2 linked regions of the Alligator mississippiensis genome follow. The protein of the gene in region 1 interacts with the protein of each later gene in a pairwise test. Links are inferred from orthologs where the notes say so. Each region holds a gene or a part of one and is shown on either strand. Other genes may lie near its edges.

Evidence for each region.
Region 2: the proteins of FAM161A (region 1) and SSX2IP interact in binary tests that used the Homo sapiens proteins (3 or more experiments, as listed by UniProt). The two-hybrid records come from large-scale screens. The link is inferred for Alligator mississippiensis from reciprocal best matches to the Homo sapiens genes FAM161A and SSX2IP.

The regions. Positions count from the first base shown.
Region 1 is NC_081824.1:212,487,417-212,491,163, reverse strand, and holds the start of FAM161A (protein FAM161A), read left to right. Parts: upstream 1-1,151; 5' UTR 1,152-1,196; coding exon 1,197-1,322; intron 1,323-3,747. UniProt on the Homo sapiens protein: Involved in ciliogenesis.
Region 2 is NC_081828.1:28,256,183-28,259,929, forward strand, and holds the start of SSX2IP (afadin- and alpha-actinin-binding protein), read right to left. Parts: upstream 2,575-3,747; 5' UTR 2,424-2,574; intron 1,917-2,423; exon of another isoform or gene 1,783-1,916; intron 1,599-1,782; exon of another isoform or gene 1-1,598. UniProt on the Homo sapiens protein: Belongs to an adhesion system, which plays a role in the organization of homotypic, interneuronal and heterotypic cell-cell adherens junctions (AJs).

The sequences.
Region 1 (3,747 bases):
TGTCCATTTTTTTTTCTTTAGAGGCCCCTCATATTGTGAGGCCCTAAGCTGTGGCTTAAGTAGTTTAAGCCTAAATCCAGCACTGAGCAGAAAGACAGGGGGATGAGACAGAAAAACCCCAAAAAACTGCATACCCATGGTAGAAAATAGGCATAGCTATGCCTACATCATCCCCAACCAGGGTGTTGAACACCTCCAGGGACCAAGAGCCCACAGCTCCCCTGGGCAGTCTATCCCCCTGCCTCTCTGCTCAAACGCTGGAGAAATCTTTCCAGATATCCCGTCTAAACTCATTTGGCTTCAGTTTCAAGTCCTCCTGCTTTAGGCAGCCCTTCAAAAGCATTGGAAGACTGCTCTCCCCTCCTTTCTGGAAGTGTCTTTTCTGCAACCTGCTGCATTTCTTTCAGCTTCAATCTTCACCTGAGTAACAGCTGAGGATTGAAGTCAGGGCTCAAGTCATAGATTGTAAGGGGCTGGAAGGGACCTCTGAAGATCACTGGGTCCAGCCCCCTGCATCAAGCCGGGAAGACATCTGGGGTCAGGTGACCCCAGCAAGGTGCCCTCCAGTCTCTTGAATATTTCCAGGGTGGGCAATCGCACCACCTCTGGAGGGAGCTTATTCCAGTGTGGAGACACTGACTGTGAAGAAATGTTTTCTAGTGTTGAGCCTGAAGTTTGTGTTTGTGACCATTACTCTTGGTTTTCCCCTCAGCTGCCCTGGAAGTCACCGAAGGGGAAGCTGGGGAGCTTATGGGGAATCTGAGGAGGCTGAGGCCCCCCCAGGAGACAAGAGCCCCCCCTGTAAGATTTGAAAAACATAACTTGGGGGCGGGGGTCTCCGATTGCACTAGGGCCGCGTGATGGGCAGCCCAATTTGTTTTACAGAACACCCCTCAGGAGTTAAAGCCTGATTGAAGCAACGGCTTAGGAACGAAACAATCGCAAACTCTAAGATCGGCCCCGCCGCACTTCTCAGTTCTTTTCAGCTGGAGAAAAGCCCCCAACCGCGGAGTGACCTGCCCGAGCCCGCTCTGCAGCCCACACTGGCGCCACCGCTCTGCTCAATGGGGAGGGTCACGTGACGCCGAGTGCCCCGCCCCCACGCAGGCGGGCCCCGGGGGGCAGGAGGAAGCCCGCCCCGCCCCGGGGGTTTGTCCCGGCGGCGCCGCCGTAGCGTCCCAGGCAACCGCGGCGCCATGGACGCGGCGCACCGAGCCGCGCTGCTGGTCGCTTCCTGCCTGCACACGCCCGTCAACGCGCGCACCCGCGCGCCGGCCGCGCTCTACGAGCGGCAGCAGGGCCCGGTCGCCGCCGAGGAGCAGGTACCGCCCCGCCCCCGCGGGGGCCGCTTTAACCGGCCACGTGCCGGGGCGGGGGTAGGGACCGGGCCTGCCAACCCGGGGGGCGGCGACCGGCACGGTTAAGGAAAGGTTGGGGGCGGGGGCAGCCTAGACTTGCAGCTCACAAGCCAAATCATTGCTGTTGCAGTACATATGGGCACACATATATACATGTATGTGTGTGTATTTATGTATACACGTCTGCACATGTCTTGTGCATGTGTACACGTGTGTGTGTGTGTGTGTGTGTGTGTGTGCAGGCATGTACACCCCCCCCAAAAAAAAAGAGAAGTCAGGCCAGGAAACGCCTCCAGAGGTCACCTAGTCCCACCCCCCCTACCCTGACACAGGATCATCCCTAACCAAACCGTCCTACACTATCCATAATCTTAGCCTTAACAGTAGCTAACATCCTGCTTATGGCCTTGTCCCCACTTCAGAGGAAGACAACCCCCCCCCCCCCCACCCCCCCAGCCTGTACCGATCTGTGCACGGGATACAATTTCTTCCTGGTCCCAAATACAGCAATTAGTTTGATCCTGCGCAGAGGGGCAACACCCACTAGCTAGGAATGTCTGGGTTTAAGTCTCAGCGGGAACACTGGCAGACCCAGTTGCAATCCCCACCTATGGCTGCAGCCAACACCCAATGCTTTTAAGGAAAACTTAAAAAATAAAGCCCTGGCATGCAGCAGAAACAGGGGGTGGGGAGGCCATAATTCCTTCCCATTCCCTTGCTGCAAGCAGCAAAGCCCAGAAGCATGGGAAATACCCATAGTACATAGGCTGTGCCTACATCATCTCCAACCAGGGCTGTCCAGCATCTTCTTGAACCCCTCCAGTGATGGAGAGTCCACAGCTTCCCTAGGCCGTCTATTCTACTGCCTCACTATTGTAATGATAAGAAGTTTTTCCTGATATCGAATCTAAACCATCTTTCCTACAACTTCAAGCCACTGGTCCACATCCTTCTCTCTGCAGCTACAGATAAAAAGTGTTCTCCCTCTTTTTTATGGCAGCTTTTCAAGAATTTGAAAACTGCTATCATGTTCCCCCTCAAGCGCCTTTTCCTTAAGCTGAACATAGAATCATAGAAAATTAGGGTTGGAAGGGACCTCAGGAGGTCAGCTAGTCCAACCCCTGCTCAAATAGGACCAGCCCCAACTAGATCACTCCAGGCAGGGCTTTGTCAAGCCAGGCCTTAGAAACCTCCAAGGATGGAGATTCCACCACCTCTCTAGGTAACGTGCACACGCACATATACACACATATATATGCGCACACATGCACAAATATACGTGCAGATAAATATATACCCATATACACACATGTATATACATGTATATGTAGCATAACCTTTCCTGAGCCCAAGTTCATTTCATCAGATCCTGTGAAAAGATGTGCAAAGCAGTGTATAAAACAGAGAAAATTATCTGAATACTTAAAAATGAAAGGTAGGAAGGGAGGGAGGGAGGGGAATAGAGAAATAGAGGAGAGGTCAGAGATGAATGTTACAACTGTCATTAAGCAGCAGCAAAGCTAGATAACTTTCCTGATAATCAGGGAAATCATGAGTACGAGAGAAAGGGAAGTGTGAAATGTGTGGTGGTGAAAAGCAAAGAAGACTTGGAAAAAACTGAGAGATTTCTGGGAAGTAGGACAAATTGTTGCTGCAGAGATACGGAATACGTTGGAAGCTCAGCTAAATGATCCTGGAGCCCAACACCTATTTTTCGGAAGAGCATTCATTGGGGGGCGGGCAGAAGGGGTAATATATAAAATATAATTTTATTAATTTCATTTTGTTTTAAGAAATCCTCATAATACAATGTGCTGGTCAAGAAAGGTATTTATATAGTTGGTGGTGTCCACCCAGTTTGTCACCGTGCTTAAAACAAGTGCCCTCAATGTTTCTATAGCTGCAGCAAGTGGCAAGGAGATCTTGTTCACAGTGTCTAAATTCCCTAGGCAAAACGCATCATTAGTAGCCCCATTCAGAGGAGCCCTATCCCAGAAACTCCCGAGAGACTGAATCAAGGGGTGGCCCCAAATTCACCTACGAAAGTACAGGTTAGCATGAATTTAGTTAATCTTGGCTAAGTTATGGGCATTGCTATGAGTTGGTGAATAACTTTTACATTTAGAATAAATACAGACTTTGAAAAGAGCATTTCTAAAATCTGAGTGACAAATAATGTAGTAGTACACATATACACACAGCATGCTGTCTTCCTAATTTAGAAAACAGATGGTAGTACTGCATCACTTGTGCCCTCACAAATCTCTTAATGAGCTTTCTACATGCAAGTGTCTGAAGAGTGGATTTAGTTTATGTCCAATTCAAGAGAAAAGACCAGGATCTTCCTATATGGATTTATTTATATATACAAGGTCAAAAGAAATGCAAG
Region 2 (3,747 bases), on another chromosome or scaffold:
GATTGGATTCCAAAAAGAGCTGTGAACCTATTTAAAGTTTTTAGATTTATCTATTAATCGCCTCCACAGATGGCTATCTGGATGAAACAAAACAAATAGATTCTATGTAAATTTGAGCCCTGCTGGTAGTCATTAGCTTACATTTTTACATCTATCCTTCAAAATGTCATAAAAAGCAACTCATTTGCTTTATTTATGCAGTAACCTTGAAAATCCAAGTATTCCCTCCACCTCCACATTTCTGACAGTTGCTATTTTTGCTACAGGCATTTTAATAATGTGGCTCACAATTATTACCACCTCTGTATGTTAAAAATAATGTTAAATAATGATTTTCATTATAGCTTTAGTGACACTACCTATGGACAGAATGAATTCTAGAGATTTATAGACTCTATATTAGTTTGTAGAAATTGATCCTACTTGAGCATTATTAGTTATATGAATCCTGGAGGGTAACGGGTTACATTTTACCACCACTTTTCTACATTCTACGAGTATTCTTAATTCAGGAGTTTGACATAGCAAACTAACCTAGTCAACTCCAAAGTAAATTTGGAAAACACAAGTCCTAATCTGTCCAGCCTGCAGGCCTGTATAGTCTTCATTTAGTTTATTAGTACATTACACCCTTGCTAGAAGGCTCCTAGTTGTATTCATCAGTTCCACTAATTTAACAAATAAGAGGTTTATTTGTCTTGATCTGTAATACAGCTACAATCACAAAAGAAATCTGCAAGTTTATATCTGTGCTAAGTCACTTATATGTTTAACAGTTGGACAACTGCTTCACTACAGTCCTCACCCCCGCCCCACTACTTTCAAGGCATATCCTCCACTTCTTTACTGATGTTACGTGTGGAGGTGTGGAGTTACCCGTGCCACGCACCTGCACTAGGCGCCGCTGCATCCCCTACTGCCTCGAGCATAGGTGCCACCTTTTTTTGTGGCTGGTGGTGCTTGCAGGCATAAAAACAACAACAAAAATGGCTCTTTACTTTTACCCAGGACCATTCCCGTGCCAAGCCCTATGCATATCCAGAAGAGGCAGTGTGTTACTGCTACCCGGTCTGTAAAGACTGAATCACCTCTAGCTAAAAACACCAAAAAGCCCCACTGAAGCACTCCATCTTTACAGACGCTGTAGAGCCAGGTTAAAGCCGTGTGCTGCTTCTTCCCATAAAGCACCGGGAGTTTTGTTTGTTGGGGTTTTTTAACATCTGCAGGCAGCTCTGGAGATGCTGAGCACTGGCTAATTTTTTTCAGTGGATGCTTGAGCCCCAGAGCACCCATGGAGCCGGCCGGCGCCCGTGGTCTCGAGGATCGACCCTGCTGCCTCCTACCATTCACAGACCATGGATCTTCGTCTCGCTCCGCTGCTGCTGGAGAAATGAATCCTGCCAAGGCTGCAGCCAGGTCTGCAACTCCGCAGGTGCCACACACATCTCCCCACCACCAACACCCTCCGCCAGCCGGCTCTGCAACGGGCGGCCAGTTATCCTCTGTGCTGCGACCGCCCGGCTGCCCGGATTAGTGCAAACTTTCCCGCAGCCCTGCGGCACCCGGAGCTTTTCCTCCTTTCAGCTCCAGGGAAGGCGCTCGGCTGTCCCCCCCGGGGCCCTCCCGCGCCTCCGACACCTGGCGACAGGCCCAGACCTTTGTGCTCCGCAAGCCGAGCCCCGCCCGCTTCACAGCCCTGCTCCACCTGTCCCGCGGCCTCCGCTTCGCCGCGCGGCCTCCCCCCGGCACCCCCAAAACGCCACGTGCCCGCGCCCTGCTTACGTCACGCCCACGTCACACATGGGGCCCAGCACAATGACGTCTTGGAGGAGCCGGAACCGAAGGGGCTCGCGGCGCAGCCCGCTCCTCCCTGGGCCGGCAGCAATGGGCAGCCTCCCCTCCCCCTCCCGGGCGCACGTGCCGGGGGCGGTGCCAAGAGGGGAGGACGGTTGGACGCCCCGCCCCCCGTGGCGTGCCCCGCCCCGCGCGCACTCACCCGCGCAGCAGACTAGGCGAGGCGAGTCTCAGCCCAGAGCCCGCGGGTGCCGCCGGCCCGGCCCGGCCCCGCCCCCCCGCGCTCCCATTGGCCGCGCGGTTGCTAGGAGGCCGGCAACAAGGGCCCGGGGGCCGACACGCACCTGCCGCAGGCGGGGAGGGGCTGCCTCGGGGACCAGACGTGGCCGGGCCGGGCCCGCGCTGCGCCTCCCTTTTCCTCGCCCGGTCCCGGAGGCAGGCGAGAGCCCGCGCCTCCCTGCTCCAGTGCCTGTTGGCGGCGCGGCCGCCCTGCCCCCTCGGCCTTGGCGAACACTTCCCCAACAGGGCCCGGTCTCCAGTTCAGCAGCCTGTTGCCTTCGTGGCAAAGTGCGTTCAATTCGACACAGGCAGACGAGGCAGGAGCTTAGTTGTGATCTGTATTGACTTACCTAGCGGCATCTCCTTGCGCCCCTGCTCCTGACCGCGACTCCTCAGCTCCTTCCAGGGTAAGGGGCTGTTCTCGGCCTTCCCGAGGGAAATCCTGCTCCAGCTGGATGGGCAGGGGAGAGCACAACCAGGTAGGGTAGCTCCCAGGTGGGCCGGACCCGCAGGGTCTGAGGCCTGCCCGAGACTGGAGGCCCGCCCTGTGTGTGAGGAGGAGCCATGCAGGCCACCGGCAGGGAAAGCAGGAGCGAAGCCGTCCACCTGGTGGGTGGGATTGCTCTTACCGCTGGGGAAGCCTTGGAAGCAAAGATGCGAGAGGAACGGGATACAGAAGCTTTAAAAGATGAGAACTGAGTCGGTGATGTGATTTTATTCACAATGCCCTTTTTTGTAAATGTGACATTCATGGTTTTTCTCTGAACTTGTCAAGCACCGATTCTTTCCCTGTGTTTTTAATATGAGAGGCAACATTCAATGTTGCTTTTGTTTGTGGACCAGCACTTCCACAGCAGCATAGATGGCAGAAAGCTGAAGCTAACGGGGCTTAGTTTCCCCCAAATTAATTGTGTAGCAGCTGGAGACGGCAGCAGCACCACTAGGGTGTCACCACAGCACCACATACGGCACCAGCAACACGCTGGCCCCGCAACAGCCCTGTGGGAGAGAGGGGTGGGGTGCAGGTGGGCACCCTTTTACTCAGCCCCCCAAATATTTTCTCCCACAGGGCTGTTATGGGGCCAGCGTGTTGCTGGTGCTGTGGTGGCACCCTGGTGCTGCTGCTGCCGTCTTTGATATCCCTAAAGACAAGAATTCTTATGACTGCGATTCACTGAATGTACTTTGGATTGACTTAGCTCAAGAACGTGCTCAAAAATCAGTCGGTAGATGGCATAATTGTAGCTAAAGTAACATCCGCCTTACAAAACTAACGTAAAAACCCTCCTAAACACAACAGTTACCAGTTACCATCAGGATAGAAAGCTAAGGATCCTTTCTTGATTTAAAAACAACAAAAAGATTCCTCCAGGCAAGGGGACAAGAACATTTTTACAAGGCTAGTAAACTCAGTCCTTTTGGAGAAAGCACAACCTTACTGTTTTGTAGATACTGTAGAAATATTTGCTATTGTTTTGGTTTTGTATATTTTTGGCCACCATAGCAGTAGATATTTCTTTAAAAAAGAATATATACACACATTTTTAAAGGAATTTAAACCAGGAAGATCATTCTTCACAGTATGCAAGATATTTATTATTTTATGGCTTAAAGAGTAATAGCAAAGACTTTGGACTTTATACTGCAGATTCTGTTTGTTTCAGACCTGTTTCG